Struthio camelus: one gene and its partners. The protein of the gene in region 3 purifies or fractionates together with the protein of the main gene of each other region. This does not show direct contact. Links are inferred from orthologs where the notes say so. Each region holds a gene or a part of one and is shown on either strand. Other genes may lie near its edges. The genes, in order: UBXN2A, PPP1CC, PPP1R7 and SH2D4A.

Region 1 (7,166 bases), on a different chromosome or scaffold from region 3:
GTAAGCTCCAGCATTTGTTATAAATTGACTTCCTTTGAAACTTAGTCCTTCCCAATGGCATTTATTTTCAGAAGCATTTAGACATATGTCCGTAAGACCAAACTATAGATCTTCAAATTGAATCTTACTGGAAATGAGCCCTACAAAATTTGTATGTAATATTTAGTGGCGTGTGGCTCCAATCATTTGCCCTTTCCTTTCTCTATTGCCTTGTCTTTCTCTGCTCAGGAGTTCTTTTAGTTTTTCTTTTTCCACAAGGCTGCGTATGGATTGCTGAAGAGGGTCAAAACGGGTTGTTAATTCTGTTCTCTTTCTTTATGACACTTGAAACAAGCCACAGATATAAAAAATGGCAACAAGTTAATTCTTGGATTAGGGAAATTACTCTAAATCTATTTCTACGGTACTTCGTCTTTTATTCTTAAACCACATGTAAATCTCTCAGTATGTGTGATATAAAATATTAATCCTATGTTAACATGTCCTTTTTATTTCAAAGAAAAAAAAACCCAAACAAAACTAACAAACCTTGTTATTTACAATTTATTCATTTCCATTGTCAGTACTAAAAACGATGATGGAGCTTACATAGACTATAAAGTGGAAAGCTATTCCAGTCAAAATAACTAGCTGTGCCTTGTAAGAATAACAAGACAACTACAAAACCTGAAAATAAAACCATCTGCCAAAAACAATCAAGGGAGTAAACATCCAAAATGAAGCATGTCTTTACACGTTTCCCTCTATGCTAACATAATGGGAATAAAGCATTAAAAATACTCAAAGCAGTGAGCAGGGATTTTTAACTACAGTAATCCCGCTACAAGAGTAGTCCCTCTGGCATCGTAAGGAATACTCACTTGAGTAGGGTTCACAGGAATGAGATCAGAACATTATAAAAAGGACACAAGTATTGTCAAAATATTTAGTAAATATAAAATAAATAGCTTTTAAGTTGTGGGTTTCCTGTTGCTTCAGGCAGATGTGGATAGGCACCCAAGAAAATCCATTTGCTTGCATAACGATGAAGTTTACTTTACTTATAAAAAGTCATCAGTGTTCATGAAAGGGGGAGTGCTGGTTTGAATCAGGCATGTTGCAAACAGATGTTATGCAAGCTTCCCCAAACAGTCCTGCCAATGCATTACAGTCCTGAGTTATGATATTCAATATAACTGCAATCCGGGCCCTTTTTGGGGCCACAGATTGATCTGCTGCTTTTCCAAAATGGGGTAAGATTTTTGTGATGCAGGCAAAAAGCCTGAAGATCAATTTATTATTTTTTGTTTTCACACGAACAGAATTTGGACTCAGTATCTGAATTACATTGCTTATCAGTGTTACAGGACAGAATTTAAAAAGTACCTTATCTGTCATCATGCTTGTGATTCTCAGCAAACTTCTCTCCAGGTTCATTTCCCTCAATGTACTTGGTAAGGGACAGCCTCCTACAGTCTCCTATTCCAGTTCTTCAAGGACAAAAGGAAAGCGGTTTCCAACTATCATTTTCAAAAACTGTAGGTTTTTAACGAAACTGTTCCTTTAGCTACAAGTCTGTGAAATGGTGGCACCCTTTCATAACCATTAAGCATAAACAAATAAATGAATAAATAAAGGATACAAAACATAACAAAACTAATCTCACTGAGCAGAACAACTAAGACTTTTGAAAGACCCTGTAGATTCTTAAACAGGATATGAAGCAATGTTGCTAATGCGAATTAACAGCCCTGAATAAAGAATGTGAAATGAGAAAAAGATCCTACTTTCCATGCCCAAAACACAATGTATTTTGGACTATCTCATAAAAATGAAAGTTTATCTCTGTACACAGTAAGAAAATATTTGCTTGGAAATCTGAATAGGCCATTTTCTTATTAAATATCCTAATGGCATAGTTGCATATTTTATATATCGTACTTTTCCAGACTTTATTCTCGAAAAGGAAGATGTGGAAGTATGCAGGAAAAGCAGAAGAACAGTTTTTCCATTTATTGTTCTTTAGCATTGTTCTTTCAAGTGCTATCTTTAAAGAATAAAAACACTTTGATAAACTGTTTGAGCCTAAGAGCTTGAGCCTTGTGATCACTAATTTTATTATCCTATTCCTTTTTGTTAGAGAAACACAAAACACTGAAATAACTTGCCTAGCAATGGCAAGGAAGTGTGAAAAATAGAATTAAAGGTGGAGGCTTTGTTGCTCAGACCTCTATATTCGTATTACTAAGCTACGTTCCTTTTACGAAGCTTTGGGTTTGGGGGCTTACGTATACTGTAATAGCTGTAAGTTTAATGAAAGGCATCAAGTTGTGGTGAGAGAGAAGTGATTCTCACTGCTCCCAATGCACATCAGTGAAAATAGATTGCCTTATTGTTTATAAATAATCTGAAAATCTCTTAAGCATCCAGTGCTCTGTAATAGGTACTGTTTTTCTTCTCCCTAAAATGAGATTATTAAATAAAGGAAGGAGACAAATAAGAGGAAAATAAGCTGAGTACTGAGCGATAAACATCAAATGCAAGCTAAGGCTACTGGGCAAAAGATAGAGGGTGTTATCTGCGACTTGTACAGCAGGCAAAGCACAGCAACATTTCTGATAGTCTGGCTATCAGGAAGTTTCTTGAAGAAAGAAACTCACCAGTCTGTGAAACAGTTTTTCACAAAAGATGGTGGAAATCCTACGCTTGGGGTGTATTTATCTGCATAAGGTGTCACGTCACTGACTTTAAAGACCCTTCCTGGGTGAGAGGGGCCGGCAAGCTCGTGTGCCCCAGGGCCCGGCGGTAGGTTTGGGCAGTAGGTAGTGCCACCTCTCAGCCCTCCTCCCTGACCTTGAGCCAGCCGCTTCCTCCCTGTCCCTCCCTCTCACCTAAGCGGACAGTAATCCTCCGGCTTCGCGCCCCGAGCGGCAACGCCGAGGCGCGGCGGCTCCTCAGCCCCGGCGGGCGGCCCCCGCAGCACCCAGGCCGGCCTGCCCAGGGCCTCAGGGCCTGACAGGCCGTGGGCGAGTCACGTCGCGGGCCCCGCTGCGCCCCGGGCCTCGCTCCTCAGCCGCGTCGCCGCGGCGCGGGCGGTGCGCGCTTCCCTCAGCCTGACAGGACTGCGCCCCTCCCCCCCTCCCCTAGGACAGCGGCCTCCCCGCCCTGCAGCCGGCAGCTGCCGTCCCCCTGGCCGGGAAGGGCGGCAGGCAAGGCGCCCCCCGCTCCCTCTCCCGTGGGGACGGCGGGCTGAACAGAGCCGGTCGCCCCGGCCGTCCCCGCTCGGCTCCGCTCCCAGGGGACGCGGCCGCCTGCAGCCGGCCGCCGCCGCCGCCTCCCCCACCCCGGCGCGCGCCAGGCCCATAGAGCGCGCCGGCGCCTTGCTAGAGCGTCCGCAGCGGGGGCCGCCAAGGCCTGCGCGCGGCGGCGGCGGCGCCGCAGCGCCCCCCGGCGGCAGCGGGCGGCCTCGCCGCGCACCGGGCAGAGAAAGGGAGAAGGGACAGTAATGGCGGCCAGTTAGAGTGTGACCGAGCCGAGGAGGCGGCAGCGGCGGCAGGAGGAGCCCGCGCGGCTCTGTCTGCGGCTCTGCCCGGCGGAGCGGCTTCCCCGCAAGGAGCTTTGCGCCTTCCTCCCCCTCCCCCTTCCCCCTCTCCCTCCCCGTCCCCTCCCCACCCGAGCCCCCGCCTGCCCGCCCTCCCTCCTCCCTCCGCGCCGGCGGCGGCAGCGGCGGCGGCGCCCCCCCCCCCGGTGTCCCCCCTCCCGGGGCCATGGTGAACACCAGGAAGAGCTCCTTGCGCCCCCTGGGCAAAGCGGCGGCCGCTGCGGCCGGAGCCGGCAGCCATTTCATCTCGTCCCGCACCCGCTCTTCCAAAAGGGGCACCAAGGCAGATGCGGCCGGGCTGGAAGAGGCGGCGGCAGCGCGGGTAAGGGCCGGGGGGGGGGCGGCGGCGAGGGCCTTGGTCGGGGAGTCGCTGGGGACAGCGCCACTGCTGCCGGGGAGGGGGGGCGGATATAGGAGCCGGGGGGGGTGCCGAGACGGCTGTCGGGCTGCGGGAGGGAGGGGGAAGAGGAGGGACGGCGGAGCCGGCGGGGAGCCCCGGGGCGGGGGGGGGGGGGTGACGGGAGGACGGCGGAGCCGGCGGGGAGCCCCGGGGCGGGGGGGGGGGGGTGACGGGAGGACGGCGGAGCCGGCGGGGAGCCCCGGGGCGGGGGGGGGTGACGGGAGGACGGCGGAGCCGGCGGGGAGCCCCGGGGTCAGAGGAGGTGAAGAGGGGCTGTGGAGCCGGCGGGGAGCCGGGTTTGGGGAGGTTGAGGAGGGCCGCGGAGCCGGCGGGGAGGCCGGGGTCAGAGGAGGTGAAGGGGGCCGCGGAGCCGGCGGGGAGCCCCGGGGTGAGAGGGGGTGAAGAGGGGCTGTAAAGCCGGTGGGGAGCCCGGTTTGGGGAGGTTGAGGAGGGCCGCGGAGCCGGCGGGGAGCCCGGGGTGAGAGGGGGTGAAGAGAGCCGCGGAGCCGGAGGTGAAGACGTTGTAAAGGCCGTAGGGAGCCCGAGGTCGGGGGAGGCGAGGGGGGAGCCCGGAGCCGGCAGGGAGCCCCGGGCGAGGGGGGAGCCCGGAGCCGGCAGGGAGCCTCTCCCCCCGGGAGCGGGGGCAGAGGGCGAGGCTGTGGCGGGTCGCCGCGTCCCAACTCGGTGCGGCGCTCGGCGGGAGAGGCCGCTGCGCGCCGGGGCGGCGAGAGGCGCCGGCCGGTGACAGGGGCTGGGGGCGGCCGCGCGCGGGCCCGTGGGGAGCGGGCGGCGGCGGCGGCGGCCGCCGGGGAGACGCGGGACGAAGTTGGGGCCGGAGCCCGGGCGGCGGAGCCGGGGGAGCCGGCGGCGGCGCGGAGCTGAGCGGAGCTCCCCCTGCGGCCGCGCCCGGCACTGCCCCCGCTGCGAGACAAAAGTTGGGAGCTGCGCCTGCAGCAACTTCGCAATCCTCTTCCCCTCCTCTGTTTCTTCCCTCTTCTCCCCCCCCCGCACCTTCCTTCCCTAAATGACCTCGATTCCTCTGAAGGGACTGTTCGCAGCAGCTTCGGCGACAAAAAGCTGCCGGTTGAGCAAGTTCCCCCCCCCCCCCCCCCCCCCCCGTCTGTGATTCACCTCCCTCAAAGAGCGGGGAGGATGTTGTTTTGCCCTCGCTGGATATGCTTAATTGAATGTTTTCCCGACATAACTTATTATAATAGCTTTGATTGTGTGGTCTAATGGCAAATGAATTCCGCAGCCTAATTTGGAAAGCTGGTGTCTGGTAAATGGTAACTGGAAGAGAGAATTCAGGAGCCTCTTTTCCCTCCTTGGAGTCTCTAAGTAGGTTTACTGACAGCTATGTCTTTCTCAGTGGACGTTTTATTTATACAGAGGGCTGTTTTTCTTGCTAGAACTGCATGTATTGATTCGAAGACTTAAACTAGCAGTTATAGTTTTCTGGTCTGAATACATATTTTAAAAGCAGAGTACTAGGAAAGACTTAGGAGCTATGGAAGTGAAAACTGAGGGTCAGACTGGTTGACAGTCATGCACCAGGTGACCGAGTCTTGTCCCCTACTAAGGAGGAAGTTAACCAGGCAAGCAGAAAAACAGCAATAGCAGCCAGAAGAAAGACGGCTGGAATTGTCAGAAAACCTTTTGCCCTGTCCTTTTTGTTTTCAAATACTAAAAAAAATTACTGACTAGATACTTGTTCTGTACTTTCTGTGCTCCTCTTTCAGTTCTCTAATGCACCACAGTTTCTCCTTTTTTTCCATACCATCTTACCTCAGCATCCCTTATTCTTGCCTTGCTTGATTTTACTAGACTCATGGGGATGCCGCACCATAGCTGTAAAAAGCTGTCCTCCTTATTCCATTGTGCAGTTTCTATTTTTTCATACCATGGGTCTTGTTGTGGTTTGTGAGGCAAAGTTTGGCATAACCCTTACTGGCTTACTGCGTGGGGAGTTTACTGCTGCTAAAAGATAATAAGTTGGAGTTCTTTCCAAATATTTTTCATCTCTAAATAATATTTTTGTATTACAAAGTTATCGTAGAGGTTATGGTATTGTCATGGTGTAAGGAAAGGAGATTGTGAAAAATACTATCCTAAAATCTATAAATATATCCAAGCATAATTCTCCAAAAGCGTTTTTTTTTCTAAAGACAAGTGTGTATTTTGGCATGATGGAATGGACTTGTTTCACTACACATCACTTGTGTTTCAGGCAGGTATTTTTTTTGTTTGTTTGTTTTCTAATTTTTTTAGACGTAATTGCCAAAGATGAATAGGAGTTCTCAGAGAGGTTTTTCTTTTCTTTTTTTTTTTCGTTCTTGTTTCTTTTGAGTATATATTGTAATATGTATTTCCCACCATATTTTAAAGTTATCTTTGGATGACTGTTTTTGTCCTTCAGGTGGTAAGAATTTGTAAGTTGTTTGGAGGTATGGGACAGCAGGGTGATGTAGTGTCTTTTTGAGCTCCTGAATCTCCAGGAAGTAGTGCCAAAGAAGGATTTCGGTGATTAGAGGTGAATAAGTATAGCAGTGAGAAGACAAAACCTTTGCTTTTGGAAGTGACCCGTCAGGAGGCGGATACTTAACTTGTGTTTGTGTAGAAGGTGTATCGGGAGTGTTCTCATGTAGTTGTATGTATTTTTCAAAGTTGAATAGAACAGGGTGTCCTTTTAAAATCTGCCAGTTGTAATGGCAGAGCACCAGCCTTACTACCAGCCGCTTATCTGGTTAACGGTCTGCGAGAGTTTGGAGATCTGGCAGACGCTTTATGCTTTTTATTTGCACTGCATGACTTAATTTTCTTCCACGGGGGTTCTGACTTGGCCCTACAGAGAAATGCTTGTTAGTGGCAGTGCTTGTTATTACCTTTCAGAATGTATTTTAAAAGATCATCTGTTTGTTCCTTATTAGCAACTAACACTGAGTTAGTAATCTAATGGCATCCTGTGCAATGTTGATTGGGCCAGATAGTACAGATGAAGGGTTAGAAGCTGCCTTCCATCTCTTTTTTTATCCATTTCCATTTCACTTTTCCCCTCCTCCCTTGGCTTTTCCTGATACTTCTTGTTTCTTTGCACACATTTACAAGGATAGGCTTGAATCCCTCCACTTCCAAGCACAGGATAAAAGAATTTAAAACCCTAAGTTTCTGATCTTCAGGTTTAATATT
Region 2 (7,877 bases), on a different chromosome or scaffold from region 3:
TTTTCTTACCGATTTGAAATATTTCATAAAGTATCTCCATAACATTGATTTTATTACCTTTAAAAAGGAAGAAGGGATTACTGCCACATTACATATTCATATCTTTACTTTTTTTTAAGCAAAATCACCTGAAATAACTGTTATAAAAATACATAAGCATACAGTTTAAAGATAGGTATAACTGGTAAAATATCAAATTGATTTAAAAATTAAACCTTGAACAAGGATTTGGGCAATTCAATTTGCGAGTCAGCTAGTTATTAAAAGAGTTTTTGTAGTGAGTATGTGGTTGGCTATCATTTTAATCAGTGCAGAATCCAGCCCGAAAAGGGAGCAGAATCCTGGGTACAGACATACCAAACTTTATATAACTGAACATGATGCAATTCTACTAAAACTGCACTGAAAAAGAACTATATTGAAAAAGAACACTACACTACATACAAATGTCTTAAATTTCTCATGCTCAGTCCAAATCTAAAAAGGATTAAAAATTCTCTTACACACACCCTTTAGATTTTTGGTTTTTTTGATACCACGCAGAGCTGCCCTTTAGATCAATCTTGTCATCTACCTAGCTGTATCTTAATAACCTCAGGAAACAGATGAGTCAAGAAAATTTCAAACAACTACAGAGAGAATGGCGTTTGCACAGTAATTCACACAATTTAGCAGTCTATCAAGAATGCAGCACTAGCCCAAACGCATTATCATTTTGCCCTCTCTGGAAAAAAAAGAAATTGTCACAAAGGTCAACCATTGCTCTAAGAAAGCTGTATTATACCTTATATAATATATTTTCAATAAGCAATAAACAAGACAAATATATAGGTGTAAATATGCCATGGGTTATTAACATTCATAATTGTTTTAAATACCAAAAGACATTTGTTGCCCCAAGAAATCAGAAATTCTAACTAAAATGTCAAAGTAAAAAAATTATTTCAGTTCTGACAGCTGACGCAACCCTAGGTAATAATATCTTTTGTTACACAGTCATCTCAAAGATCTTGTCAGTGAAGCTTCTGAAACCTCATTTATAAGCTCTCATCTCTCAATGTACAATACTTATACAAGCCAGGTAAGAATTTAACATATTGATATAATACATCTTATTACTTGTTGAAATCCAGAACAAGGGAAATAATTCAAATTATTCAGACCTTTTTTAGGCTTATTTCAAGTCTTTGATATTAGTAACTTGCACTTTGAGAAAACTGCATGAGTTGCATTACAGCAAATCAAATAAAAATTATACTATCTGCAATAAAATTAAGCATCTATTAATATGTCACCAAGCATGTAACACACAGGACCTGATACCTACAAAGTGTATTAGAGCATCAGGAAAACACTGGTTTAAATTACAGACAGAAGCCTCCAAACAACTTAAATCAGGAGAGTTTAAACTGGCAACAAGCAAAACCTAAAACAGATCAGAGAAAAAACACTATTTACTTTTCTTCATTCTAGCTGAACAATCCCAAAATACACCCGCTGGATTTGTAATCCCAACCAATTTTATAGAAGCACTATTGCCCCTTTGCCTTGCCTATTATTATTCGGGTCATGACATTTAGTGAAATTTTACAAGAAAAAAATTGGGAGAGCGCTCAAAGGCATTTCTTCACTATTTGTCTCAGCAAAATCTTGGATGACTTTGTGCCAAACAAAAAAGTTAAATGCCTGACCAAGCTCTTCAAGCAAAAATCCAGATGAGATGCCTGCTCTGACACACTTAAAATGAGGCTGGATCAGTCTAGCTTCCTTCTCTAAATAATTATAATCTTTCTTGGTGCTAGGAAGAAAATTTGTCATCGGCTGCTTCTCAACCTTTTGCCCTAGGAAAGATTAGCTGACAATTCTAACCTGATCCTGACCCTTACAACCAAAGGGAAGACGCTGCTGACACCTCCTGCAACATCTAGATTTTCCTTAGATGTTGAACTCCATTCAACTCTTTTCAACCCAAAGCACTAGCGATACAGGACAATAAGCCCTTCCAAATATCGTCTAAAACAGAGCAAAGGCCAACCTGTAATTCGCGTTTTAAAAGCCACCATATGTTACGCGTTAAGACCTAAAGTCTAATGGTAGTACTAATGCAAGCAGTTAATCAGCGCTAAAAATATGATACCCTGAACCCAGGTAAGTCCCCTGTCGACTTTCTGAAAAGCTGCCTCGACAGACTCTTTAAACATGGGAAGGCTTAATTTCCAGAGCCCCACGACTACCTAGCGAAGCCCAGACCCCGTGCGCGTGTAGCGAAGGCAAGCTTAAGCATTCAGGTTTTTAAACACTCCCCTACGAAAACCTTACTCAGCTAAGCATCTCCGTAGAGCTGCAGGGCTGGAGGAGGGGGCCAGCCGGCGGGTCTCAGCCCTGCACCGGGAGGACCCAGGGGATGGGAGGGCAGGGACGGCTCGGGAAACATGAGGGCTAGGGGAGAAGTTGGGGCCGGAGGGCAGGGGCGCCCGGGCCGGCGGCGGCGCCGAGCCCCGGCAAGACAAAGCGCCTCGGCGCCCCTCCATTTTGGTGCCCCGGCCCCAGCGGGCGCTCAGGGGCCGGGGCAGCCCCGCGGCGGAGCCGGCGGTGGGCTCGGGGGCACCGGCTCGGCCTCCGCCCCCTCCCCGGGCTCCCCCCGCGCCCGGACCCTCACCCTCCAGCAGCCGTTGGATGATGCTGTCGATGTTCAGCTTGTCTATATCCGCCATCGCCTCTCAGCGGCCGGGCGGACCCCTCCCCGCGGCTCCCCTCCCTCCGCTCGCTGCTTGGCCGGCCTGACTTCTCTCCTCGGTCTCTCTCGTCTTTTCCCTTCCTTTTCTCCTCCCCGCGCTCCTTCTTCCCTCTCTCGCTCCGTCCCCCCCCCGCCCCCCCTCGGCCGCCGCTCTCAGCAGAGACCCAGCACTGAACAAAATGGCCGCCTTCCCCTCAGCGAGCGCGGCCGGCGCACGGATACTACAGGCGCGACGCGGCTCACCGGAAACCCTTTATAGGCAGCGCGGGAAGCACGCGGAGGAGGGCGGGGCGGCGCGTCACGGCGTGCTGCACGCGCGGGATCCTTCCGCCGCCGCGAAGAGGCGAAATAGTCCGGCGCGAGCGGGCGCCGCGCGTGTGCGGCCTCGCGTGTGCGGCGCCGCGGCCGGGCTGCGCCTGGCGGGCGCTAGGCCCTTGGCAGGGAGCCGTTGATGCGGCTCCCACGAGGGGTTTTTCCCTTCGGCCCTGCCCCACGGCCGAGGCCCGCCGCGGCCAGCTGCCCCCCGTGAGGCGAGGCGCAGGCCGGGCCCCTCGGCCTCACCTGCCCGGCCCGCAAAACGGGGCGAAATAACACCGAGCGCGGGTGTTTTCCCTCGCCGAAACGCGGCAGCGGGGCGCCGAGGCCCGGCCGGCGCGCGGTCACGCCAAGCTGCCTCGCCGCAGCGGCTCTGGGCGCTCGTGCGAGGGGCTCTGCGGCGGGCGCGCGCCCTTAGGCCTCCGAGTAACGTGGTGCGTGCGGCTCTCCCCGGGCGACTGCTTTTAAGTACCGCTGTGCAGCGCTTTGAAATCCTTAGGGGGCCGGCCGGGGAAATGAGCGTTTTTTTTTTTTTTCCAGAGCGCCTTGCTGTTTTATTTCACATTTCCATTATTATTTTATTCGTGCATGGCAAAGGCTTGGCCGCGAGCAATTAAGCGAGGTTCTGCTCGTAAATTGGATCGCGTTTGCAAGGGAGATGGGGCTGTGCAGGCCTTTGCTAGCGTTCAGTCTGCATCTCTGATTGAATATTGTTTAATTGCTTTATTTACTCCTACTTTAATTTGCAGGGATGGCTGTGTCAACCACTTTCCTCCTCCCCGTGTGCGTTGCTCATGCTATGCATGCCAGATTCCTCATGCTGACAGTTACATAATACTCATATAACAGTTTATTACCGTGGTGGGGCCAGAGCAGAGTTCAGGTTCGGGAGGGTGATAAAGCAAAGGACTTGCAGCCTCAGCACACCTTGGAGGCAGCGTGAGGGAGGAAAGGAGAGGGCGCAGAGCCAGGCGGTCTGCGACGCGGGCGCCTGGCCGTTGCCAAACGCGGCTTCGACATTCGAGTTCCCCGAGCGAGCGCTTTATCGTAATGAGCGCGCCCGAGCCCGTACGCTAATCTCGGTCACACTGGTGTAAGCCCAAAGCAACCCCGCTGCAGACAATAGCGTTACTCCAGGTTTACTTCAACGTGACAGCATTTGCAGATTTACATCTATTCCTGGGCTGCGCCTTCCCAGGGGCAGCCTCCCCTCCCTGGCTCTTTCGCACCAAAGGCTTTCCTTTCAAATCCCGGCTAATTCTGTGGGGCAGGTTTTTCTCTAGCAAACTCCTTTGGACTTAACTGAATTGTTCAAAGAGGGAAATTGGTGCTGCGTTTCCAGAGAAACCTTCCTGTCCTTGTTTTCTTTGCTGGAAATGTCTTCATCTTATCTCATCCTTCAGCTGTTACTCCCTCTCCCCTGACGCCCTCCCCTAGGACCAGTCCTGCACGGATCTGAGCACCTTCTGCGGCACGCTGAGTCCCTTTCACTCCTGTTAATGCTCGGGGAAATTGGGGGGGGGAGCTCAGCACCTTCCAGCATGTGACCCAGGAGATTTAATCCTCTGCGCATGGAAATTTATCGGGAACATCACACTCCTGGAAGGAAGGATCAGGCCCTTCAGAGGAGACTATATCTCACTTGATGAACCAAATCAGGCAAGGTTCAGAGCACCATCAATTTGCGTTAGAAGAGGCATAGCAAAGGGGAAGTGAGAGAAGTGACAGAGCGAGGGAAATATATTCAGACCCCAATATCACCTTGATAACCGGCCTGCTTTGCTGCAGCTCTGCTCCTGGGTCTCGGCAGCAGCTGGGAACGCTTGGTCTCCTGTTCGGAGGGGAAACTGTATTTTTGCACAAGGTCTTTTGCATTTACATTTTTGCTATATCAACACAAAAAATGAGAACGCTTACTTAACAGCAGTAAACTCCATGCGAGCCACAGTTATTAAAAAGCCACCACAATGTTATTTTTTAATAAGCTAATTTTTCTCTGCTGAAAATAACAAGCCTCACCCCACAACAGCTTCTCTTGATTAAAAAAGGGACACAGCCAAGGTGTTAAATATCCTGAAACTATTTTTTTCCTCCAGTGTTGCTCAGAACAATGATTTATTTCTAGAGGGGGAACAATGAGGGATATCCCTTTGCCCTTAAACGCTGCATGCAGACTTGAAGCGTTTGATAATTCTCAACTTAGAGTTCATATATTTCCCCCTTCCTTGTATTTGTCTACAGTTTGCATTATAGTTTGCTAAATACACGATGATGTACGATTTATCTTGCTTGCAGCTGTGAGACCTTTGTGTCTCGTCCTCCCTCCCCTCCTGAAATTCCACAAATAAATCACTGCTTGAGTAACATTCCTTGGAAGCCTCAGGATAAAATATCTTTCCCTCCTGATTTGTCCTCCTCATGTCATGCATATACTACTTTGCTTATTGTAGGGTTGCTCGTATTCTGGGCTGTTGGGGGATAGGATGTATAAATATCTTTATATACTTATATATATATATATATATATATACACATGTATAGATAATCATGAAACGCTCCTTTTTTTTTGTTCCAGTATGTAGGTGGATCCTAAGAAATGCGAGTCACCCACGCTTCCCCTTGCTTTAGATTACATATTTGCTAAGTCCGTGAAATTCAATGTGTTTGTGTACATTTTAAACAAAGATCTACAAGGGCTGTTCAAACACTGGAAGAATAAAAAATGTGGGGCAAATGTTGTTTCTCCTGACTAGATATTCAGATATGATTTAAATGTTTTCATAGCTCGTACTGTTTGCATCCAGATAGCCTGCTGTTATGATCAAGATAAACTTTTTATGGATGCCTCTTATTCCTGATGCCTAAAGTATTTCACTGACCCCAAAATTTTGGATGTTGCCAGAGTCTGGGGGCAGACGGTGGCAATTTTTCAGGCAAACGAAGAGCAGCTGGGCAGTGCCATGAGGCTGCTTTGGAGATGTAGGGGTCTGTGTTCTGCTTGGAAAGGAGTCGGTGACGCAGAATCAGGTATTTTCTTAGTGTCCTGTTTTATTTACAAAACATACAGTGCATTGATCTGCCTTGAGCAACAAGACGTGCGAGCTGCAGGCGGGCGCGCAGGTCCTTTGCGAGGGACCCGAACGAGAGAGCAAGGCTTTCCGCTGCTCCGGAGCCGCTGCCTTCGCCCTGGGGCTCACGGGGGATTTGTACCCAGTGCAGAGGCCGGACGCCAACGGCAGAGCGCCTCCCGCGCTCCCTTCTCCCTGCTTACCAAACTTTTGCTTTTCTGAAGTCGTCAGCCCACGCATGAGAAAATTAGGAAGCCTTGTTTTCCCTGTGCAACACCTTGACCCTGAGGCTGTGGGAGAAGTCCGCTCTCTGCTCTGGGGGAAAGCGCCCAGCCTTTGCCTGCGCAGCCGTTTGCCATCGCATAGCGCCCGTATTCCCCTCCACCCCTCCTCCCCCAAAAGCCAGGCCTTGAATTTTCCACGGAGCCGAAAATTTCACAGTCTCAGCAGTTGGTTTCCCTCTGAAATCTCCCAGCAAAGGAAACTGCCAACAACAATGACAAGCCTATCTCAAGTTTGTTAGAATCACATTTTCGATAAAACATGTTAAAAGATTCTGTTCGAAAAATCTTGAGACATGGTAGAAATGTTATTTGCAGTTCCTCCCCTCCTACCTTTTTTTTGTCAAAGTTGATGTACTTCAAGGCTTTCTCATGAAAGGTATTTTTGGATGGGAAAATGTTCTGCTGGTAAGTCTTGGAAAGTTCACACTGGCAAAAATACTACCAGTAAAACCCTTCTCATATAAAAATGTCCTAAGTCACTTTTTTTCTGATACAGCTGTGACCACAGTAGGATTTTCCTGCTATAGCTATTTGGATTAAAAACCCAGCACGTTCCAGCCTCTCAAGGAGTGTGTTCTAGGGATCTGGCTTTTGAGGCTAGACCAGGCACAAGACCTGTTTGGAGAAGAGCAGATTGGCGCGTCATGCCGCAGCTGCGCATCCCTGCTCGAGCGTGGCGGAGGGCCGGTCCATCGCTAAGACTGAGAGGGGAAACGGGGCTAAAGAAGACTTTGTCCTGCTTTAAGCGGTGAACAGCCGTAATGGATCAGTTGACGCTATTTTGGCAAGGACCGGAGCCCCTGTCTTCCCCTCTTGGGCCGGGAATCTCTGTGCTCTGCCAAAGGCCGAGTTTCATAACTAGCTAGAAAGCTTTTGCGGGTTTCCGTGGGGCTCAGCTGATTGCCACGGAGCCATTCAAGGACGGGGAACGAAAACAACGTGCGCAGCAGCCAGCGCTACGCGTCCAGCGAAGGGCTTTTCAGTCCTCCTTTAGCTGGTCCATGGCAGGGCGAACATAATCTCCTTTTTGTCTTTGCTGCGGAGGAGAGAGGCAGCCGGGAGCGAAGGGGTTCGCTGAGCGTCTCTCCTCTCGGTCTGCTTGCTCAGACATCGTTACAGAGGGTTTCAATTTTCCCACCATGTGGAGTGGACACTGCAAGAGGGGGAGAGGCCACCGCACCTTGGAAAGGTTAAGGGGACATTCTGGGCAGCTTTGACTTCACGTGGCTTGAAGAAAGCACTTCAGGGATGTTCTTCATTGCATTGGCCAGAAAAGCGTGTTAGCAGCCCGGGACTGGCAAGTGGCTGGGCTGGGACACAGCTGGCTTCTTCGCTTACACTGATTTTACCCCGACATAACATGCTCATGACATGGATGAACTCTTTCTCTAATTAAAACCAATGAGAGTGGAGGACCAGGAGGGCTGTCAGGTGAGCATGGAAGCAGAAATAAGATGAAGATCAGTTCTAGCT
Region 3 (6,924 bases):
AATTCCGCAATACAGAACAGTAGTTACAGAGTTACGTAATTCCACAGTACCACAAGTATTAATTAAGAGTCTAACTGCACTTTTTAACTGCAAATGCATGAAAAATGTTATAAATATCTAAGCTATAAGCTTCCTAAACAGAGCTGCTATTCTTCAGAAAAATTAGCTGAATGAAAAATGTGAAGTTTCAGCTGCTTGAGTTCTCTCTATTTATGTTCTTCTGTGGAAAGCATGGAAAACTGTTCGTTGTCCTTCACCTGGGCAACTCAACAGCTGCCTACCGAAACTAACTCAAACGTTCCAAAGTTATTTCCTCTGCTTGGTCTCTGTTCTAGTTGAAGTTTGCTGAATCCTACCAGCTCAGAAGAAGAAGAAATGACAATACAGTCATTAAATAAAATAGTCCCAATATAATCCATCCACCAAATCTGAATTACCTTCCTGCTTTAAACTGTAATTAAAGGAAAGACTTCAAATGGCATATTTTCATATTATAATTCCCAGAGGAAACAACATACAAAATATAACTTTGAACATGCAGCTAAATTACGTTAGCTGAATGAACGCTCATTATGCTACATGCGTGCAAAGGAAAACAATGAACGACTGATCTGCTTGTTTTGCTGGCCGTACAGTGCTTGCGCTCTACAATTCCCAAGATGTGCTCCTTCACTTTCATAGACAACATCACACCATTTCGCAATTAATCACAGAAAACTATATGTTAACAGTGAATTATACCTAGAAATAGAGATCATTTAATTAGGAAATGAGAGTTCAAATTCTCACAGTAATTTACTACTTTAGAAACTATTTTTGCAAACTCTAAGGGACAAGGTTAAGAGGGATTTGTAAAAGAGCAACAGCCAAAAAGGATCAAAACACAGCGGAAAAAATTGCTATATTGTTTCACTTTTATTTCCAGGCCAATAGTTACTCGAACGCGTCCATCAGAAGGACGCTATTACATCTCAAATTATCAGGGCGTTCTAGCTCTAGATCTATTAGAGATTTAACTCTTTTTACTCCAACACCCACCAACCAGCACCAGAAGTTCACATAATGTTGCCAGCTGGGGTCTTCAGAGATGGATTTGCTCTGATAGAGTTTAAGCAAGTTACTGAAAAATAAGTCTTTCTATCAAACACACACAAGCTTAAAAAAAGCCTGTCAGAATTTCTACCGCGCTATACTAGTGTAAACAGTAAAAACAGTAGCAGGAGTTCCAAATCAAGAGGATTCAAACATTCAGATACAAGTATTTTGATACATCTTATAATTTGTAAATGTCTAAAAAAACTAAACAAAAGAATTGAAAGCTTCCTTCGATCTATCTAGAAATAGTCTCCTTTGCCTTCCAAACAAATCCAGCAATTTAAAAGTAAAAAAACTACATAACACTAAAGCAGAGATATAAAGAGCTGTTTCTATTCATTTCTAATGAACACTTGCAGCATCTTTCTATAGGAAGTTGCTACTACTTTACCACAAGATAGGTATTAGTAAAGATGTTTCATACTTCGATCTTAAAGATTTCAAAGAGAAGCGTGGTTTCACACACGGGTAAATAAAAAATAATAATAGGAAAAAAAAAATCCCCAAAATCTAATGCCAATGGTTCCATAAAAAAGAGGCAGCTCTGTTCTACCAATGACTACCTTACCACTAATTTTCTCAAAAGAGCTCTAAGAAAAAATCATGAGGTTAATAACATTACCACATATAGCCATGGAAAAGAGAAAGGATCGATGCACAGATACTGCTGTAAGTAAGAAGATCCCTCCTAGGGTGATCAATTAGATTGGCTGGGTACCTGTGCAGTTCTCACCATTCTGCTCCTCTTTCAGGCTCTGCTGACTGAGGTCTGTTACTAAGCAAGCTGCTTGCTTCTTCCCTTCTTCATCTCCCGACTCCTCCGATTCAATCCGCTTATCAACTGCACAAAATACATAACAGCAGATTTAGGCTACTTTCGTGAGCGGGGCAGAGAAGTAGCAAACAAATATAATAACCAGGACTCACATACACCACTATGCAGTTAGTAGAAATCCTAAGTTAACTAAATTAAAGGTTTAGTCTTAAATAAAAGGCCTCTTACCCCTTGTTTCTAGTTTGATTTTGGATGCACTTTTTCCTCCCTTCAGATCTTCCTAAAACCAACAATCTGGGAAGAAGACTGGAGGAAAAAGGAGATTTCTTAGATCAAAGGAGTGCAGATCCAAAGATTACGGAGATGGAATTATAATTATTACATTGTAAAAGCTTTTAGGAAAAAAAAAAATCAGTATCTTGTAAAACAGTAACAAAGACGTGAAGTAGTAAAAGCTTCACAAAAAAAAAAAAAAAAAAAAGAAAAAGCCAATCCCAGCAGATAAAGTAACCATCTCCCCAGCGTGATCGCTCCATCGTTTCCCCAGCCGCAACTCCGGCGGCCGCCCTGGCCCCGGGGAGCCGAGGTCCTTCGTCCTGGGCAGCGCACAGGCACCCCTCAACACGTACACTCCCCTCACGGGGTGGCCGAGGGGAAGCAACGCCATGCCAGGGCGCCGCTTGGTATTATCGTCGGGTTTTCTTTTTTTAGGTCACGCTCACCTCCACACACCCACTTCTGCCACCTCCCGCGCCTGCAGCCCCCCGGGGCGGGGGGGGGGGGCATCACGCTGTGCCCCAAATAGCAGCCCCACCCTGGGCGGCGCAGCACGGCCCAGAGGCCCCCGACGCCCCGGCCCCGGCCGGCAGCCGCCCCCGGGGGGACAAACATCGGAGTCTCCCACACCTCGGAGGACCCGGCAGCCGCTCCGCCCGCGCCCGGCAGCCGCCCCGCCGAGCGGCAACGGCTGAGTCGCGGCCCGCCCCGGCCCCGCAGCGGCCGCGGCCGTGCCGGCCCCCGGCGGGCTCTCACCCTCCATCATCTCCTGCGGTCCCTCTCCGCTCTCCGCCGCCATGTTGCTTCTCCTCCCCCCCCTCCCCCGCCCCCGCCCCCGCCCCCGCCCCCGCCCCCTTCCGGAAACCGTCGCAACGGCCGCCGCCGCCAATCAGAGCCCGCCGCCGGCGAAGGGCCACAGCCAATCACCACTGCAGGTGGTGCGCCGTAAGGGGAGGGGCGGGGCCCGGGCCGCCTGTCAGCTCCCGCGCATGCGTGCGAGCCCGAGCCCCGCTGCCTCCTGGGAGTTGTAGTACCCTGTGAGGAAAAGGAGGAAGCCGCCTGGCATTACTGCGGGGGCGGGGGGCGGTTCCCAGCCCACCAGCAGCCCCTCGGGCGTTACGAGCTGTTTCCGGCTTTTTCGTGCCGCTAGGGAACCCTGGCCCTTGCAGAGGGCTGGTCGTCCTCGGCTCCCCCACACACCTCCTCCCAGGCCGCGAGAGCGGGCAGCCCGGCGCGGCCCGGCTCGGGGCTGCCCGCGGGCAGGCATCCAGGCATCGCAGGGGCGCGAAGAGGGCTGCGGCGAGGGACAGAGAGTCCGGAGGGCGCTGCCCATTCCGCAGCGCTCTGTCAACGCGCCTCCCGCCGCTGCCGCCCCGGCCCGGCCGGGGCCTCCTTGGCAACGGCAGCGCGCGGCCGCCGGGGACGGCTTTGCCCGTTCGAGCGGCCCGCCGCCCCGCGCCTCGGCGCCTGATTGGTTACCCCGCGTGCCGCTCGCCCACCGCCTTTGCTTATTGGGCAGCGCGGCCGGAGAGTCCCGCCCCTTGTTTGCTCGCGCCCGCGGCTCTGTGGTAACTCTCTGAGGGGCGGCGCGTCCGGGCCGGGCCGGTTCGGCCGGGCCGGGGCTGCCCCGTGCAGGGGCCGAGGGAGGACTGCGGGGGGCTGGGCTGGCCCGGGCTGCCCGCCGCGGGCGGGCTGGGGAGGGTGGCCGGTGCGGGGACCGCCCGCCCTGGGCGGGAGGGAGGCCGTGCGGCGGTGGCTGAATCAACGTCGAGAGTTACTGCACGAATAACCTGCTTCTGCTCTGAAAATGAGCAGAAACGGGGAGCGAGTGGTGGCCGGGGGCTTCGGTCGCTCTTCTGGAAGCGCGCTGGCGAAGTCCTGTTGTGCCATAGGTGATGCTGGCAGCACAGACCACAAGTCCCACCTGGCCGGGCAAAAGCTAGTTAGCGGCAGTCTTGCCACAGCTTGCAGGGCTGTGCTTTGGACTAGAAGGCCTGTTCTGCCAATGCTGTGAGCGCTATTGCCTGACCGCGGGCCTGACTGAATTTGTTACGCTTCTGTTACAGGTGGAGGTTTTCTAGGCGCGCGATATGGCAACCAGGCTTTGACTATGGCAGCCGAGGCAGATAGCTCCGCTGAAGAGGGCTTTTTGCCTTCGTCAGCAGGCTTAGCCCTTCATCACTTGAGCGATTCTGATAAGCTAAGTAGATCCTACCCCTGGGCCAGCAAGAGCAGGAGAAGTCAGCTTTCTGAACTCTGCCGGCGCAGAGCCTCTCTCTCCGGTGAGCACATGAAACGCATGTGAATGAGTTTGCGTGTTGTCAATGAAGACGATGATTATTCTTTCAGATGTTTTCAGCTCTTCTTTCTCCCTCCCCCCCCAAAAAAAAAAAAAAAAAGCTAGAGATGATAGCAATAAGCAGCTATTAAAAAGCTCTTATTCAGGCTGGGAGAGTTCTGGGAGGACGTGTCGTAGTATGCTTGCTTTGTATTGGTACTCCTGCCTGGGCAACCTTTATTGGCTGCCACTGGACCAGGCTGTCCTGGGCTTGCAAGATACTTGGTGTTCTAAATATTATGTTCTAAAAAATGAAAAAATTGCCAAATAGGGAGGAAGACGATATTACAGTAGAACCTGTTGAGGAGGAGGAGAACTTTTCAGTTTCAAGCCTGTCCAGATATGGATGTCTCTGTTTTATCATGGTCAGCATATCCATGCTGCATGCAGTGCATAAATGCAGAGGTGTCCTTGTAACGACTTGTTCATACCGCGTCCTCCAGCACAGCTTGCCTTTGAAAGCTATTTGCCCCTTTGGGCGCAGAGTTTGTTGCCGATGCCACTACCTGAAGAAACGCTTTCTACAGGCAGAACTTCTGAAAATTTTAGTACAATCTCTTGGCACTGCATAACATAAAACATTGGTGTGGGCATAGGTATTTCAGTGTCAGCTCTTGTGAGTAGTTAATTTACTGGCTTCTGACTAACTCAGTATTTAAAGAGGGCTTGAACGCTTACAGTAATTATATTTAATAACAGTTTTAATTTTAACTTGAGAGAATTCAAAACCTATCCTTTAACTCTGTTATCTTAAGCGAAAGGAAAGTTGACTAGTCTGGTTGAATTTTATGCATGTTGGCAATGTTTTCTAGCCCGTGAACTGAGTTTAATTGTTCCTGTGACTTACAAAGACATGTTTATTAGAATTGTTTCTGTTATCTTTAGTTTAATTGATTTTGGTATTTTGTAATTTCTAGGAAGCGTATGTTTTGAGTTGAAATTACTTGACAGCTATTTCAGCTGACAAACAGTTTTTTTATTTATTCCTGTAACTACTCCTGTAGTAGACTGCTAGAGCTACATAGCCGATCTTTATCTTCTCACAGGAGAGAAATGGAGCTCTTATTGTTTGTCTTCGCTGGCGGCTCATAACATTTGTTCCAGCAAAATTGGTAACTCTTGGGCTCGGTGGGATTCTGCCTCTCTCTCCAGTTCCATTGGTAGTCCTGCTTCTTGTTCCTTTTTGCATGCCCTTACTGTGGAGGAATCCAGCCAACACCTTGTAACTACTGCACGCAATCCGAACAAAGCCGTCTTCACGGTGGATGTCAACACAACAGAGGTACTTGCCGTATCTGTTGCAGTACGAACCGCTAAACAAAGCAATGCGTACCTAGTATAGGTTGTGTGACATCATGTAGGCTCAAAAGCTTGTTATTCCTGTGTTTGTAGGCAGTGTCCAAATTATGAAGCTTTTTGATAGTCTGCTCAAGCTCAGTGATTCTACAAAGACGGACAATGCATGTATTTCCATTGTAGGTTGTAGTCGGTAAAGTATACAGGACAATATCAGAAGCACTGATGTCTTGAGTCTTTTTTCAAACAGAAAAAGAGAATAAAGAAGAAAGCAGTTGTGATGTGGCATGAGGGAAGAACAGAAAAGCAGAAAATGTTTCGAGCCTTATGACAAGGAAGAACCTTCACTGGGATGGGCTCATGGTGACATGAGGTCTCTGTCTGCCCCAGTACATATGCCTTTTGCACTGGGAGAGAGAATTTCTCTGTTTTTGTCCTGAGAGTAAACGTTAGTATGAAACTGAGTACTGAAAACTGTAAAGCATTGTTTCCTTTTTAGCTTGAACTAACAGTTCAGACCTCCCCATCATAAAGAGAGAGGGGCTAGACACTTAATTGTGACTTGGTCTGTAAATAGGCTTAAGGCTGTCAATTGCTGTGGTTTTTGCACATCTTCAGGGCTCGATAATATTCTGTGGCCAGCCCAGATTTTCCTTGAAAGTGCAGCTCTGTGGTTTTGCCTCTGTGGATATAATTATTTAAACAGCACAAGAGGCTGGAGGGGATAGGCAGTTATAAAGCCAGAAGCTTAAAAGGAAAGCCATGTCTCACACCTTCTTAACAAAGAAGAGGCTTGGGTGAGGGTTGTCCTAGAACAAGAAGTTTTAGTGAGTTGAGTAGTAAGATTTCAGAATTAAAAAGGGCTTCTCCGTTTCCACTGAGAGAGGAAGTGATATTATAAGACATTAACAGATCATCATGCTGTTGCTTTAAAGAAACTTACAGCTCTTCTGTGTTTTTTTTTTCCTTTTTTTTTCTTTTTCCTTTCTGCTTTTGTAGATTCTAGTGGCCAATGACAAAGCCTGCAAGCTGCTTGGATGCAGTAGTCAGGAACTCATTGGTCAAAAGCTGTCCCACTTGATATCAAAATCCAGTCAAGATGTTGTGGAAGCTGTAGGTGAGGAGTACATAGAAGCTGATGGAT
Region 4 (7,347 bases), on a different chromosome or scaffold from region 3:
CTTTCTGTAATGAAACATCAAAGCAAGCACCCTAGTCAGCTGCATTTGGAGCTGTCCTGTCCTGTCAAGGTCATAAACTATCTTCTAATTCTTTAGAAGAGAAAAAGAACGTGAAATACGCATTTCAAAGGATGTTGGTAGTATTGCCCTCTCCTGATCTTTTATAGGGGAAGATGATCTGTCTGAGGGCTGTGGCCTTGCATGTGCTGATCCTGGTAGGAGAGCCTCCCTGGTCTTGCCTGAAAAGCAGCCCAAACCAGCCAGAGAACAGGAGAGAAAGTACTGTAATCTCCATTTTACCCATGGAGAACGGAAGCAAAGAAACCCAGCTGGGAATAACCCACAGACCTCCCCAGTCCTAAGGAAGGATGTAACAGCACAACTTCTTCAATGACTGCAGAAGAAAGAAGCCTTAACGGTCAGGTGGCTAGGTTTTTTTTGGATTTTCCTTTACTAGCAATCAGTTTGCTGCACTCGCTACCTCTCAAAGCAAAGACTTCTGAGTAGGAAGGAGAGAAGGAGGAAAAGTACCTCTCTGAGCTCCCAGCTTTTCTCTGTTCTAGTGGCAGTTGTTTTTCTCCCATCTTCCTTCTGCTCTTCCACACTGCTTTTATTGTTCCTGCGAACATCCATCCCACCCAGGACTCCCGGTTGTGGATGCAGAGAGCATGTTACAGAAGAGTCAGTCTCTCTGAAATGCAAGAGAGACAGGACTTAGGAATCCAGGGGAGTAACTTTGTGCTGCCTAAGCATCTGAGAGGAAATCACATGTGATCAGAGCGCTGCCGTGCAGGCATACAGTTATCATATCTCCAGGTCACAGGGAGGGAATAGTTAAAAGTTGTTACTCATTGTGAGTAACTGTCGTCCGGCTGTTCACAGACACCTGTCGATGAATCAGTGCAATCCAAACACATCACCCACTGCAGTAACACGCATATCATCTCCTATGATCTTCAGAGGCTGCCGCACAGCAGCGATATGATGGGAGACTTGAACAGCTAGGGCAGGCCCTTAGGTTGGAGGTTGAGTCTCTGCCAGGATTGCCCATACTCATAGAAAGCTGACATTTCCCTGTGCCTTCGCTCTGCAAGCAGAGTGGGACAGAGATAACCACGCGCTGCCTGGCCCCAAGGCAGAAATCAAAGGAAAGCAAAACATGATTTTATAAAGGGCTCAGGCTTGCTCGCAATGTGCGTGTTAGACTTGTCCACCTGCTTCAGCCTGAGGAGGAAAATTCCCAGAGCAGAGAGGAGAGCCTCCACGGCAGAGACTCTGGCCTGGGTCTCTAGAGAAGTCTCTTCCTCTGTGTGTCCTCTGGGTGAGGGATACTTACCTGGCCTCCTTGCCTTGCTCGCTCGCTAAGCGTTTTGCCCTTTGTGCCTGGATCTCTTCACAGATGGCAGCATACGACTTATCTGATGGATGCTCACCCATCACCCAGACCCAGACATCATTGTCAGCACCGAGCTTCCATTTCACCGACTTCGCGCTGGCTGGAAGAGAAGGAGCCTTTTCACTAATGCTGTTTGCTTAGCAGCCCCATGCAGGGTCTGTATCCTACATGCTGTGCCCTGGCTGCTGCCACTGGCAGAGCCTTTCCCAAAAACAGCCTTCTGTGGGAAAAAGCAGGGAGGTATCTGTGGACAGGGTCCATCCCTGTTAGAAGCTCCTTTGGGACACAGCATGGACCCTCCCCCCCGTTTCATTTCACAGTGCCGGAGCTAGAGTCGTTCTCTGTCAATAAAGGAGATGTTTCTGAGCCCCAAAGGAAGAGAGGAGATACCGCCATTTCCTTTCTTCCTCTACTTCCTTGCCACTGCCCTCTTCAAATGCCTTGTCCAGGGACTGTGTGAGGCTGGACAACCGGCAAACAGAGCAGGTAGGAGACGGCTGGGGGAAGAGGACTCCTCGGCTCTGCGAGCCAGCATGCTGCGTAATCCTGGCAAGGGGATTTCGGGTCTAAAAGCCTAACAGGCAACCCCCAGCAGATTGGTGCCTCAGCCCAGGCAGTGGCACTCGCCAAGCTCCCGTATGACGCAGGCTTGTTGCTGGCACTCCAGGACAGGCATTCATGTCCGTGGTTATTTTATACACAGATTCAGAGGCTCCGCTCAGTGGGACACTGATGAGATGCATCTCGTGACCCAGGGGACAAATAAGCCATGTCTTCCTGGGAAGGGGAGTTTAGTGGTTCGGTGAAGGACGGTGTGTCTGGGCCTGGGCCAGGGAGTGAAACAAGCTGGATGCCAGGCCAGAAGAACCCCCATAGGAGATGGTTTTAGTTCTAATTTGGGAATATGAGTAATGTGTCCTGGGAGAAGAAATTACTCTGGGGACACATTGCCTCCTCTATCTCGGGATCTTGGTCAGATCTGTGTCCAAGGAGGAAGCAGCTGGCAGGCAAAAACTTACCTTTTCTCAATGGTGGTTTCTTGGCTGGAGCCTTGTCTGCGGCAGCTTCTCTTTCCTTCCACCGTCTGATCTGCTCTTGCCTCATCTTGAAGAAGAGGATCTGCTTCTGCTCCTCACTGAGTTCTGCCAGCAGCTCAGGATCAATGTACATGTCTGATAATATCTGTTTCAGCATGGCTGGAGGTTTCAGTTGCACACGTTTGTGGCGATGAGCTCCAGGGATCAGCTCCTCTTCCTGGCTGCAGTATGGCTGCACTGACAAGAAAGAGTCCGTCCCTGCCTGAGCCTGGAGCAGGAATGCAGGTGTGCCAGGGTAATTATACTTCTATCTGGGTAACTTTTTTTTTTTTAGCTCAGACTTCCTGCACAGACTGAAAAAGTAAATACGAGCTTAAAACCTGCTATTAAGATTCCTTGAAATAACAGGTGACAGACACAGCCTCCGCCTGCTCTGCAGGGACAGCTGGCCAGAAGGGAAGAGTTCTGGAGTCGGTGGGCAGGTTGTATTTATGCCCTGATAAACTGAGCTGATACCGTATCAAAACAGGGAAGAGGGCTGCGTGCTACAGTCATCAGAGGTGTGGCTTGTCCGTGCCCAAGCAAACATTCCTGCTGGGCAGGGGATCAATGGACTCAGGACTAGAGGGCTCCTCCTTCTTCGGAAGAGGAAACGCTGTGAAACAGGGCGGCATGATGTTAAGAAGTTCAGCCGCTCTCTTTAACCAAGGAAAGATTGGGAGGGCTTTTGGCTCTGCTCTTGAGGTGGGAGTCAGGAGTTGCCTGGTGGGAATTTTGGGGTACTCCTGTCCATCAAATGTAGTGTCCCAGCAAGCCCAGGGAAGGTGGATTGCTCAAAGCCAGATAATTAAGATTGTCAGCAGCTGATGAAATGAGGCAGCTCCAGGTCTGACATTTCTTGCTGATGTGCCTTCCCCACATGGCAAACCTGGCATGCGCCATCCACACGTGACAAGCCAAAGAGGCAGGGGAGAAGGAGCACTCCTGTTCCTGCCCAGGATGCCAGGTCACAGCTAGTGCATACAGGTAGGGCACCCGGCACCCAAGCAGATGTGCTTTGTGCCAGTAGATTGACCTGTGCAACAGGGGTTTCTCTGGAAAATTAGGAGCACTCCTGTAACTAGAGGAGCTGCCAAATAGGTAGTGCTGGGGGGATGGGGGGAATGGACTAAAGACCTTGAAACCAACTCTTTTGCATATCTCCTCTGGATAAACTCATGGAAACAAGGAGGTTGTTCAGCAGCGCGTTCAGTGACACTGTTGTCCGACCCTGGCGCTACTGAGGGAGGAGAATGCGGGGTTGGGGGGGAGGTGACGACAGCTATGTTGTAAAGTACAGCTGCAGAAAGAGCTGCAAGGGTGGCTTGCTAGCCAGAGTGAAGGCGAGAGGTTGCAGGCGCTTTCTGAACAAGCTCTTAGGAAATGCAGGTTCACTGATACCCATGGTCTATGGAAGAGGTGTTGGGCAGCTGCAGGCTAGGCGCCCTCTCCGAAATGCTACTGCTGCCACTGGCAGCAGCGGGCAGAAAGGCTGAGTCTCAGTGCCTGAGGAAGAGGAGTTTACAATTGTCAGAAATCGTGGGAACCTGCGGTGGAGAGAGTGGGTGCAGGAAGGGTCAGTGTGGTTGGCCCCGAAAGGGAAGCAGATTGCAGCCTCCTGCCATCACAAGGGCCCTGGGAGGAGACTGTTACACCAGAGGGGCAGGCACATGGCGGGGCAAGCAGTTTGTCCACACTCGCCCGAAGCTGTAGAGGTCAGTGACCCCTCGAACAGGGAGGGCAGAATTTGATGATGGTAAAATAGGAAACGATAAGTGGGAGCAGAGGTTTAGCAGGTTGCATGGAAAATGAAGGCTAGCGGGATTACTCCTGTACTTCTACACAAATCCTGGGAGTTGGGGAAACAAGAAGCATAAAAGGCTTAAGAAGCTTCGAGGCATAGCCCACTAGATGGGAGGAAGGTGGTCAGCAGCACATTAATGTGGAAGTATAAAGTACATGGAGAAGATGGACTGGCCCATGCCAGGGAGAAGTGGCAGTATGCATTCACTACTGGAGTCAAATGAGTTCCCTTTGTTACTGTAAAGGAAATGGCTCCTGGGGATCCCCATGGCAGGTCAAGACAGGAAAAAATGTTGGGAGCACCTTCAGCCTCAGCGCATGATTGCTCTGATTTTTGCCTGGAGTCCTCGTCTGGGAAAGAGGTAGAAGAGCAGGCTAGAGAAGGGTAGGGCAGAGCAGCCAAGGAGGGCAATAATGAAGCTTTCCAAGGAGCACATGCATGCAGCCCATTTAATTAGGGAAAATGAGGCAGTGTGACAGCAAAGCTTCCTCAGTCAGCCAGGCAAGATAACATCTCCTGGGCTTATTCTCACGCTGTCTCACCCCGCCTGCCTTCCCCATTTCACCCCCACACCAGACCAGGCATGCCTGAAGGCAGCGTGCCCTAAAGCTGCGAGAGGTAGAGCACTCAGGCCTTCCTGGGGCACCGCCAAAGCATGCCGGAGACAGAGGAGTTGAGGAGCGCCCAGGGCATGGCAGGCTGGAGTCCTGACGCAGATTTGGCAGGGAGGGCCTGAAATGAGCTGGGAGCAGCTGGGGGAGCTGTAGAGGTGAGACAAGGGGCTGCTCAGGGCCTGAGAGGACAGAGGGGTCCCGAGTGTGAGCACAGCCACTTTCAGACAAAGCCAGAAGTAGGACTCCCTGGGGAGGTGCCCTGAACCAGGCAGGGTAGGGTAAGAGCCTTTTTGTCTCTGTTTTGTGTGTCTGACCAGTTGCTTTACATTTTCCCTCTTTGAAAGGTTAATTTAATTTCAGAAACAGGGAGCTGTTGTTCCAAAGTCGTGTTGCTGTTTAAACAAAATGGCTTGATTGGTTGAAAAAAGGCTCTTTGGGGAGCTCCTTGTGGGAGGTAGTTGTGGCTGGGCAAGGCTCTTGAGTGATCCTCTGATAAGAGAATTGCCCCAGCTCAGCAGCCAAAGAAAAGGGCTCAGGCTGTCCTTGAGCGGGGGGGGGGGGGGGGGGGGGGGGGGGGGGGGGGGGGGATGGCAGGCTGTGGAGAAGGAGCAGCTTTTTGCTGTGGGGGGGAGCTGGGGCGCAGTCCCCTCTTCCTAGGGGCATCTGAGCTGTGTGAAACTGCAAAATTGGGAGCTTGCTGGGAGTTTGCTGTTTAACCTTCACTGCCTTCTGTTCTTAGGCGCTGCCTGGAAAAGAAGCTGTTGTTGGCAAAGAGATGAGGGTATCACAAAAGCACCCTTCAGTCAGGCCTGGGTCCCTTAGGCTTTGGAGTTTTTTCTTAGGATCAGCTGAAGTCAGTTCAGTCTGGAGGACACAAGGTGTGGTGGCTATTTCAGATCAATTCCTGTCCTCCAAACAGAATAGCTCTTGGGAGGGTTGCTCTGGTTTTAGGGGATGTGACAATCTCTTTGTGTTTAGCCCAACACAGCTAGTGCAGGCATTGGCCTTTTGAACAGTAATATGAATCTGAAAAGCTTGTGTGGTGTTTTTATTTCTGTAACCCAAAAGTGCCTTGAGCTGTGAGGCAGCGCACACAGACTAAGAGCTCTTTTGCAGCCAGTATAAAGCAGAGTATAAACAACGCAGAAGCAGTATAAACAGTATAAATCATACACGTAAACAGTATCAAAGCATGGTATTAGAAGAAGAAAGGAAATGAACAGCTATTTGTAACTAAGCTGCAAGGTGGGAAAGAAGCATGGAGTTGGTAGTAGCAGCAGGTGTTTCCATTGGGATAGACTGTCCCTCGCAAATGTTTGTGTGTGAGGGTGTACTTCTGTGTGTGAAGAGTTGGTACCCAGTGGGTGACTGAATAGGTGCAGCATGGGCTTGGCACTCCCCTGCCTGTTTGTCTGCAAGGGCTTGATGTGCGTTTGGGGGAACACGGTTTTTGCCTGCAGTTTTCTAAAGATGCCTAGGCTGAATTGCTGTAAGGTGCAAAGTACAGAAAGGTTCAAAATATTGAAACCTTGGGAGAAGTAGTCAGATCTACGTTCTAGTGGTACAATCCGTGTGCCCTTCTGACAAAACCTGCAGCTACTTTGCTAAGTGGAGAGACCTGCAGTTTCTTTTTAAGAGGAGGATGTTATGGAAACAAGTTTGGAGATGCTTGTCTGAAAAACATCCTAGCAGAAAGAAAAGTTGTTTGATTTCTAAAAAGAAAGATTTGAAAAGAGCTCGCCGCGTCTTTGAGGCATAGTGCGCATTCAGAATACCCAGGGTTCTGGGTATCGGCGATGCCTGTTTCACCATGCCGTATGGATGAAATGCTGTGCTTCTACTCTGAGTTGCTGGTCTGTGTGCAGAGGTCTTCAGTTAAGAGCCTGAGGTGTCTTCTGTTTGGAGAAACAAGTAGGGCTGGGTCTTCAGTGGCTCAAAAACAGTAACTAAAGAGGCTGGTAGCTCTGCACATGGACAAATGTGGTGGTCTGGCAGAGATGCCTTGCCTGGGTCAACAGAAATGAATAGTTGTGATGTGTAAAACTGAAGGGGTTTCTAACAGAAGAGACTTGTTGCCAGCAGGGAGGTGAAACCCTGTTATTCCCTTCAGTTGTGAAGGTATAATTTGTGGTGAGTGTGGGCCAAATGCTGAGTGGTTTGTTAAGCAGAGGGTGTTGACTATGTTTGCCAGGGAGAAAAGCCAGGCAGCTGGGCAGGCCTCTCAGGAGCTCTGTGTTCTGTCTGGCTTGGGAGCAGCAGAACTGCTGTTCTCCAGAAGCTCTAGTGACCTTTGATTCAGGATGGTCCCAGCTCCCTGGCCAGAAGGGGGCTTGGAAAGAGGATGGCCCAAAATGGGCCCGAGAGGATGTCCTTGCTGTGACTGAGCAGAGGTTCTGTGCAGCTCTGGCTGGTGGGATTGGCTGCAGCGGACTGGAAGTGCAGGCCCCTAGCTCGTTT

The links.
Region 1: the proteins of PPP1R7 (region 3) and UBXN2A purify together in Homo sapiens (affinity purification with mass spectrometry; 3 studies listed by BioGRID and IntAct, counting the BioPlex papers as one, with this or other methods). This does not show direct contact. The link is inferred for Struthio camelus from reciprocal best matches to the Homo sapiens genes PPP1R7 and UBXN2A.
Region 2: the proteins of PPP1R7 (region 3) and PPP1CC purify together in Homo sapiens (affinity purification with mass spectrometry; 8 studies listed by BioGRID and IntAct, counting the BioPlex papers as one, with this or other methods). This does not show direct contact. The link is inferred for Struthio camelus from reciprocal best matches to the Homo sapiens genes PPP1R7 and PPP1CC.
Region 4: the proteins of PPP1R7 (region 3) and SH2D4A purify together in Homo sapiens (affinity purification with mass spectrometry; 3 studies listed by BioGRID and IntAct, counting the BioPlex papers as one, with this or other methods). This does not show direct contact. The link is inferred for Struthio camelus from reciprocal best matches to the Homo sapiens genes PPP1R7 and SH2D4A.

The regions. Positions count from the first base shown.
Region 1 is NC_090944.1:15,830,728-15,837,893, forward strand, and holds the start of UBXN2A (UBX domain-containing protein 2A), read right to left. Parts: upstream 3,012-7,166; 5' UTR 2,871-3,011; intron 2,836-2,870; exon of another isoform or gene 1,366-2,835; intron 1-1,365. Other genes in the region: ATAD2B (ATPase family AAA domain-containing protein 2B), read left to right, coding at 3,747-3,902. UniProt on the Homo sapiens protein: Acts to repress the ubiquitination and subsequent endoplasmic reticulum-associated degradation of CHRNA3 by the STUB1-VCP-UBXN2A complex in cortical neurons.
Region 2 is NC_090958.1:18,080,757-18,088,633, forward strand, and holds the start of PPP1CC (serine/threonine-protein phosphatase PP1-gamma catalytic subunit), read right to left. Parts: upstream 3,002-7,877; 5' UTR 2,715-3,001; coding exon 2,660-2,714; intron 1-2,659. UniProt on the Homo sapiens protein: Protein phosphatase that associates with over 200 regulatory proteins to form highly specific holoenzymes which dephosphorylate hundreds of biological targets.
Region 3 is NC_090950.1:3,846,217-3,853,140, forward strand, and holds the start of PPP1R7 (protein phosphatase 1 regulatory subunit 7), read right to left. Parts: upstream 3,010-6,924; 5' UTR 2,946-3,009; coding exon 2,903-2,945; intron 2,177-2,902; exon of another isoform or gene 2,099-2,176; intron 1,937-2,098; coding exon 1,814-1,936; intron 1-1,813. Other genes in the region: PASK (PAS domain-containing serine/threonine-protein kinase), read left to right, coding at 3,954-4,038, 4,213-4,428, 5,531-5,766, 6,780-6,924. UniProt on the Homo sapiens protein: Regulatory subunit of protein phosphatase 1.
Region 4 is NC_090945.1:5,625,329-5,632,675, forward strand, and holds the start of SH2D4A (SH2 domain-containing protein 4A), read right to left. Parts: upstream 3,008-7,347; 5' UTR 2,591-3,007; coding exon 2,416-2,590; intron 1,497-2,415; coding exon 1,337-1,496; intron 692-1,336; coding exon 532-691; intron 1-531. UniProt on the Homo sapiens protein: Inhibits estrogen-induced cell proliferation by competing with PLCG for binding to ESR1, blocking the effect of estrogen on PLCG and repressing estrogen-induced proliferation. May play a role in T-cell development and function.